Styela clava: one gene and its partner. The protein of the gene in region 1 purifies or fractionates together with the protein of each later gene. This does not show direct contact. Links are inferred from orthologs where the notes say so. Each region holds a gene or a part of one and is shown in the gene's direction. Other genes may lie near its edges.

Region 1 (3,759 bases):
GCAAATGGCAATGTTTAATGTATTTGCATCAGGAATCTTTATGGTTATAATTTGTGGTATCCCCTTGAGAATGAATTTCTGACTTTATGAGAAGCTATGATATATGTTGGTGTTGTCTTCATTTTCCTATGTACATTATTTCATTCACTTTATTATTATGTTGAGATGCTTTATATTTGGCTTCCCAAAAACTTTAAAATTTCATTTTAAACAACTATTCTTAAGCGAAAGTAGTATTTAGAAAATTTGTGTATATTTATTAAATTCTGTCATATTATTGACCTGCTGAAAAACTTTTCTGAAATTGAGATATTTCTAATTATGTTGTGTGGTTCGTGATTCAATATAGATTGAATAGATATAGATACATTGTTTTGAGATCTTATTTGTTCACTGAAACGAAAGCAGAAATACATACTTATGTGTCGAATACTTGTTTGTTTACCCAGTTGTTCTTTTTTTATTATAACATTCTTCTTTTTGATTGTTTTCTTCTTGTTTTCTCTGGTTTATAAATGCAGCTACTTCGGCATTTTTTCCACATAAATATGCTCATACGAGTTTGAGTTCTCTGTAATTCATTTTCTTGTTGAATGTGCTGAATTTTGCCATTGTTCATCAAATCATGATATCGGCAAATTTTTGTGAGAAATTTATTATAAATCCTGATCTTTCTGAAAATGCAAAATTTCAACTGCATAACTTAGATTTGGATTTTCCAAAATATAAAAACATCTTTTCAATTGTCGATTGTTTTTTCAAATTTTGTAAACTTGTAATATTGGTCACTTTATTTTCATTTATAAATAGCCTGTTGTGGCAGAAAATTTTTCCACTTTTTGTATCTTATGCCCTATTTGTCAATTCATTGTGTAAAATGTGAAACTTGGAAAACTTTCCTATTGCTCTGAAGATATTTTTGAAGGCTGTATTGTACAAAATTGAATTAGTATTTACATTCAGTGGTGGCAAATTTGTGCCAGCGGCTGCTTTGATTTGATAGGTCCTGTGTTTTAACTTCACAAACTTCTTTCTGATATAAATGGCTAATTATAAATGACACAGATTTAATTATTTCTGCATTTGAATTGTCCTTTTTTGCAGATTTTTATGCTGTACTTATTTAGTAATCTAATTTATTGTTTATATTTAAGCCAAAATGTTCAATTTAAAACTGAATTCTGCATTAGCTCGTAGACTTTCGAAAGGTTCCTCACTTGGTTTCAATTGCTTGAATGCCAGGACAAATGCAACGGCCACTCATGATGCCGATTTGACAGTGATAGGATCTGGACCAGGCGGTTATGTCGCTGCTATCAAAGCTGCCCAGCTAGGAATGAAAACTGTTTGCGTAGAAAAGAGTCCAACCCTAGGTGGGACATGTTTGAATGTTGGGTGTATACCATCGAAAGCTCTTCTAAATAATTCTCATTTGTACCATCTTGCACATGGAAAAGATTTTGAATCCAGGGGGATTGAAGTTTCCAATGTTTCTGTTAATCTGGAAAAAATGATGGGACAAAAATCATCTGCTGTAAAGGGTCTCACCGATGGTGTTGCTGGATTATTCAAGTTCAATAAAGTTACGCATGTTCGTGGTCATGGTATGATTAAAAGTCCAACACAGGTGATAGCTACAAATGAAGAAGGAAATAGTGAAGTTATCAATACAAAAAATATATTAATTGCTACTGGCTCTGAAGTTACACCATTCCCCGGTATTGAAGTTGATGAAGAAAGGATTATTTCATCAACCGGTGCTCTAAGCTTGAAAGCGATTCCAAAAAGATTGATTCTTATTGGTGCTGGAGTAATCGGTGTTGAGCTAGGATCTGTCTGGTCAAGATTAGGTTCTGAAGTAACTGCGATAGAATTTCTTGGACATGTTGGGGGAATGGGTATCGACATGGATGTTTCGAAAACGTTTCAACGTACTTTAAAGAAACAAGGAATGAATTTTAAACTCAATACGAAAGTGATATCTGCTGATAAAACAGACTCTTGTATCAAAGTTAATGTTGAGGCTGCAGCCGGAGGTAAACCAGAAACATTAGAATGTGATGTTCTGCTTGTTTGTATCGGTCGTAGACCATATACACAGGGACTGGGATTAGAAAATGTTGGAATAACAGCAAACAAACAAGGAATCATCTCTGTTGATGAAAGGTTCCAAACAAGCTGTCCAGGTATATATGCCATCGGTGATTGCATTCCAGGTCCTATGCTTGCCCATAAGGCTGAGGATGAAGGTATTATATGTGTAGAAGGTTTAACTGGTGCACCAGTCCATATTGACTACAATTGTGTGCCTTCTGTTATTTATACTCACCCAGAAGTTGGATGGGTTGGCAAAACTGAAGAAGATTTAAAGGAGGCAAATATTCCTTACAAAGTTGGTAAATTTCCTTTCGCAGCTAATAGCCGAGCAAAGACAAATGCTGACACTGATGGATTTGTAAAAATTCTCAGTCACAAAGAGACCGACAGAATATTGGGAGCTCATATCATTGGTGGAGGTGCTGGCGAAATGATCAATGAAGCCGTTCTTGCGATGGAATATGGAGCTTCATCTGAAGATGTTGCAAGAGTTTGTCATGCTCATCCAACACTGTCGGAAGCTTTTAGAGAAGCGAACTTGGCTGCATATTTTGGCAAACCAATCAATTCATTTTAATGTCTATCTATTTGGAAATATTTTTGGCTTTATATAAATATTTAAATAATGCAATGAGTTCACTCTTACAAACAGGTTGAATATTTAATGATAAATACACAATGTAGGGTATGGGATAGGCAACAATATGGCTATGTAATAAATTGATTCAATTTATTCTTTGAGTCATTTATACTTTGTTTTCACCAGATATGGAATTATTAAGATGACTAATATGAAAACTTTGGTCTTTGTTTATGACAGCATTTCATTATTGCAACTGTGTATTATTCTCTAATGGGTATTGCCACGATGATATGAAATGATCCTCAAGTAATGAACGAACATTACAAAAAAAGGAGTTAGACTGCTGTTCTTCTCGCACACTTGTTTAAATTTCTCATTTGCAATTCTTTGTGCCCTGGACTTGTGCGAAAATATTTCTTTTGTTTTCATTCCACAATGTTATCAATCTTGCATATTGGTTAAATTTTTTCCGGGAATGGTTTTCATGCCCATTCTTGGCAAGATGCGAGATGCTGAATTAGTTTAAATCAAGAATTTCATATCTCTGTATCTGGCCAGGTAATAAAATAAATGCATATTGATGGTCTGTTATAAAGAGTTTCCATTTCCTCCAGTTTTTTGTCATCTTCAGTCTTTTCATTGCGATTCGAGAGTTATTTTTTCTTTATGTTAAAAATGCATATTATTCATAAATTTAGTGTTTTAGCTGTTTTAATTCAATAATTGTGAAGTCACCATGAATGCAAGTGCAACCATACACAATAATGGGAAAAGCAGTCGTGGGATCAGATGAAATATTTTGAAAAAATGTGTGAATATCCTAGTTTTGTATTTCCAACTCACACTCGTGGTTACAGTAAACACAATCAACAAGCATTTACAGATTATGGATGCTGGGAATCTGTGGACATTGATGTTGATGAGGTGGGTTGCGAAATGTTCAGTTTAAAAAACTACTTTTTTGTTTCATTAATTTTAGTTTTTTTACTTTTAGTGCCAGTTCTGTGAAGTAGATGTTATTTTAATTTTATAGCATTGAAGACTATGTTGACAGTTGCTGTTCCATTGATAATAATACA
Region 2 (3,759 bases), on another chromosome or scaffold:
TTGTGCTTTATAATAGACATCTTGAATAACAATTAATTAACCATTCAATCACGAATGATACCGGTACCTATTCCAAGAAAAAAACTCAAATGTCCACTGCATTATCTTTTGCTCGTACCGGTACCAGCGGTAGGATTAATCATAAGTGGCCTTTCATGGACGAGGAGATTGTAGCACGTAGTGTTTACAGTTCTTAATTTATAGGCGCCTATTATTAATGATATACGCAGTGGCGATTCAAATATCAGAATTAGGAACTGGCGTTTCTCGGGACTGTGTTGAAACAGTTCAAAGTTTACATTGGTCACATTTGTTTTTTTTTTGATTCCATTGCGCCATGTCGCGGAATATTACTGCGTGCTTCGTATTTGCTTTCCCATAGTAAGGTCACTCTCTTCTCTGACTAAAACGCAACACAAAACAACGAAGCAGAAGTTAGTTTCACAAAAGGGTAAGCTCGTTCTGTCGTTCGATTCATTGATTTAAAATACCCGGTACTCCAGTACTCTCTGGTCTCGAATTTATATGTTGAGATTAAATAAGATTTCGAATATGTCTGTATGTGTAGAGTCCAATGTTGAATGTAATCAATTTACATTTTTCAAATTAGTATTTGTTGCTTCTCCAGTGCAGTACCGGTACCGTAGTGATTGTATGGTAGTAGACTATCTGATATTACCGTATACATACATAAGAGGTGAAAAGACAAAAAGCAGTAACCGGAGCTCTGTGTGTTGACATTAACTTGATTTCAATGTGATTTGAAATTTGAAAACCTACCGGTAGTCTAGCGCAACGTTAGCTTACTTCTGTACTTACTGAAGGTGAATGCGTTATTTTGTTTGTTTCATTGTTTGCCGCTAAAATTGTTAGCGAACGTATCACATGTAAAATCAATTCTAATTGGTCCTGTTCGGTCATTCACGTTAATGTAAATTTGAACAACGTCTTTTTGAAGGTGTTATCTACAGAAAAGCATGGTTGGGCGAATAAGTAAATTCTTAATGCTTGAAAACGGCAGACTATGTCATTATTCTTTATTCCTCTTGCTGTACACAAAAAATCTAAATTCGGATCATTTGTATCGTTAGCGTCTATTCCTTTCTATTTTTCGAACTGAACCCAATATTTAGACAGAAAATATGTGCATGAACTCTCGATGACAATATGGTCAACAAAGACAGTTAGGGTAGCTTTAAATGTAGGCCTATGTAGTAAAATCGAAAACTGTACAGTTACAGGATCACAGCTAAGGGGTCGTATTTTTGGAGGCGTCCCGCTTTGAAGTCAAAAAAATATGGTAACCCTACCACTGACTGATGTGTCAAGTAAATTAGATATCAATATCAGCGCACCTCATTCAGTCATTGAATTCTAAAATTGAAATTCGTAGACAAATGCAGTCATCTTAACTGGATATTGGCAGTATTGGAGATTTTACACCAAGCTCAGAAGCTATGATTCAGGTTGTACTATCCACATGCATGACTAGGCTATATTATTCATTTTTAATTTAGTTCAGTTCAGTAGTTGTAATCTGACCAGGTGTTAAAATTTTCATGATCCACAAATATCTTTTATACAGTTATGTTTTAAATTTACTACATAGACTTGGAGTTCACTTAAGGAACATTCAACATGCTACGCAGTGCAAGTACCACAAGATGTGTGAAGGCTTCACTGCGTTTCATCGTCAATAAACCATCCAATCACATAATAACCAGTCGTCTACTGAGCACAAGAAGTTTGCACATTGCTAATAAATCTATCCAAGATGCCAACAGATTTCATACACAAAACCATGTCATGTGGAGAACTTCAAACATGCACTATTCTCCATTCACTTGTCATGTTCGATTTTATTCACTCCCATCATACACAAAAATTGATCTCCCTGCACTTTCTCCGACGATGGAAATGGGTACCATTGCAAGTTGGGTACTAAAGGAAGGTGATCATTTTGAACCTGGAGATCTTCTTGCTGAAATAGAGACTGATAAAGCAACAGTTGGATTTGAAGCGCAAGATGAAGGATATATTGCCAAGATATTGGTGCCTGAGGGAACAAAGGAAGTACCTCTCGGAACTCTCATCGCAATATCAGTTGATAATGAAGAGGATATAGCTGCGTTCAAAGATTTTACTCCAGGTATCTATGTGATAATATTTCATATTTTTATTGATGGAGATGCATGATGAATATTGGTGGATTGGATTTCTCAGAATCCACTTGAGTTTATCCAGTTCCCCTTTTTAAATGACTTTAAAATCAAAGTATGGCACAGTTCTCCGTTTTCAAGAATGCCCGGAAAGAAGGACATCTGACCTTACTATAGATGTGTAATATTGAGCTATTTTGCCTCAATAATATTATGATTCAATTGTGTGGGACGGCCAGTGAGCGAAACTCATTTCTGTCGTTGGTTTTTGCTAAAATTTCTGCATTAAAATGTTTTTTCCTGTAGCGAATTTTCATGGAATTCAAACGCGACAGTATAAAATTGCACTTGGTTTTAGTTTATTGAGCAGCTCTTGACTTTTCATTTTTGTGCTGTTATGGAGGACAGTGGTAGCAAGGAATCTTCTGGTATTTGTGAATGTAGTATACTGGATATTATGAATTCGAAATGAACTGACTTCAATTTCATTGATAACATGTGACTTTTGAATGACTATTTAATGATATTATATTTTTTTATAGATCAAGCTTCAGGTAGTGCCGCACCACCAGCCGCTAGTCCAACAGCTCCAGTTACGTCCCAATCACCACAGTCAACAACCTCTTATCCTCGACATGAACGAATTTCACTTCCAGCATTGTCACCAACTATGACCACTGGAACTATTGCCAAGTAGATTATTTTCATTTTGAATTATTAGGCTTTCTTGTTTAGGATATTTCTTAGGTTGTATTCTCATAAAAATTGAGCCAGAATGCTAAATGATAAGTTAATACTAATTTGATACAATCAACATGTAGACTGGTTGTTGTAAATAATGTTTGATTTAATGAATTTGACAGCCAGGTAGTAAAATTCTATTCCTGGATGAAGCACTTCAAGTCACAATGTCACGAGAACAACTATGCAGTAAAATTTGGGAAATTAGAAAATCGAATACAATTTTTCTCATTTGCATGCAGGTGGGCAGTGCAAGAAGGAGATAAAGTAGAGGAAGGTGATTTGTTGGCTGATATTGAAACTGATAAAGCAACAATGGCAATGGAAGCAGAAAATGAAGGTGACACTTGAAAAAATTTTGTCACAATGTTGAGCAAGGCTCATAAATCTTTTAACATAGCTTAACGGATAATTCACCATTTAGATAATAATGTTTTAGAATATGGGATGTAGAATATATGTAAAATTGGGCCATGTTCCTTATTAAGGAGCTTGTTAATCATTATATACACGAAGAGATCGAAGTCTATTTTTGTCTGATTGTAAGATGTCAAAATCTCCAAATAATGATTTTTTAAACAAAAATATCTCCTAATCCTCATTTTTCAAACAAAAACGTCCTAAATTATCCTGGATTAGTGAAATTGAATACATTCCTGTTCATCTCTTAATTTACAATTACTCTATAAAAAGCTGATTTGTTTTCTGTTTTTCTTAATTTCTACAAATGTAATCAATTTGTATTGAATAAGTAAGCTATATGTTATTTTTATATCATACAGGATTTATTGCCAAAATAATTGTGTCAGAAGGAACAAAAGATATTCCATTGGGAACATTGTTATGTATTCAAGTCGAA

What was found. The genes of interacting proteins can lie anywhere in the genome.
Region 2: the proteins of dihydrolipoyl dehydrogenase, mitochondrial-like (region 1) and dihydrolipoyllysine-residue acetyltransferase component of pyruvate dehydrogenase complex-like purify together in Homo sapiens (affinity purification with mass spectrometry; 4 studies listed by BioGRID and IntAct, counting the BioPlex papers as one, with this or other methods). This does not show direct contact. The link is inferred for Styela clava from reciprocal best matches to the Homo sapiens genes DLD and DLAT.

Annotation. Positions count from the first base shown.
Region 1 is NC_135252.1:10,600,124-10,603,882, forward strand, and holds dihydrolipoyl dehydrogenase, mitochondrial-like, read left to right. Parts: upstream 1-1,155; 5' UTR 1,156-1,159; coding exon 1,160-2,674; 3' UTR 2,675-3,378; downstream 3,379-3,759. Other genes in the region: uncharacterized protein LOC120343183, read left to right, coding at 3,470-3,604. UniProt on the Homo sapiens protein: Lipoamide dehydrogenase is a component of the glycine cleavage system as well as an E3 component of three alpha-ketoacid dehydrogenase complexes (pyruvate-, alpha-ketoglutarate-, and branched-chain amino acid-dehydrogenase complex).
Region 2 is NC_135253.1:17,064,052-17,067,810, reverse strand, and holds the start of dihydrolipoyllysine-residue acetyltransferase component of pyruvate dehydrogenase complex-like, read left to right. Parts: upstream 1-1,546; 5' UTR 1,547-1,638; coding exon 1,639-2,149; intron 2,150-2,701; coding exon 2,702-2,852; intron 2,853-3,142; coding exon 3,143-3,240; intron 3,241-3,682; coding exon 3,683-3,759. Other genes in the region: N(6)-adenine-specific methyltransferase METTL4-like, read right to left, coding at 1-20.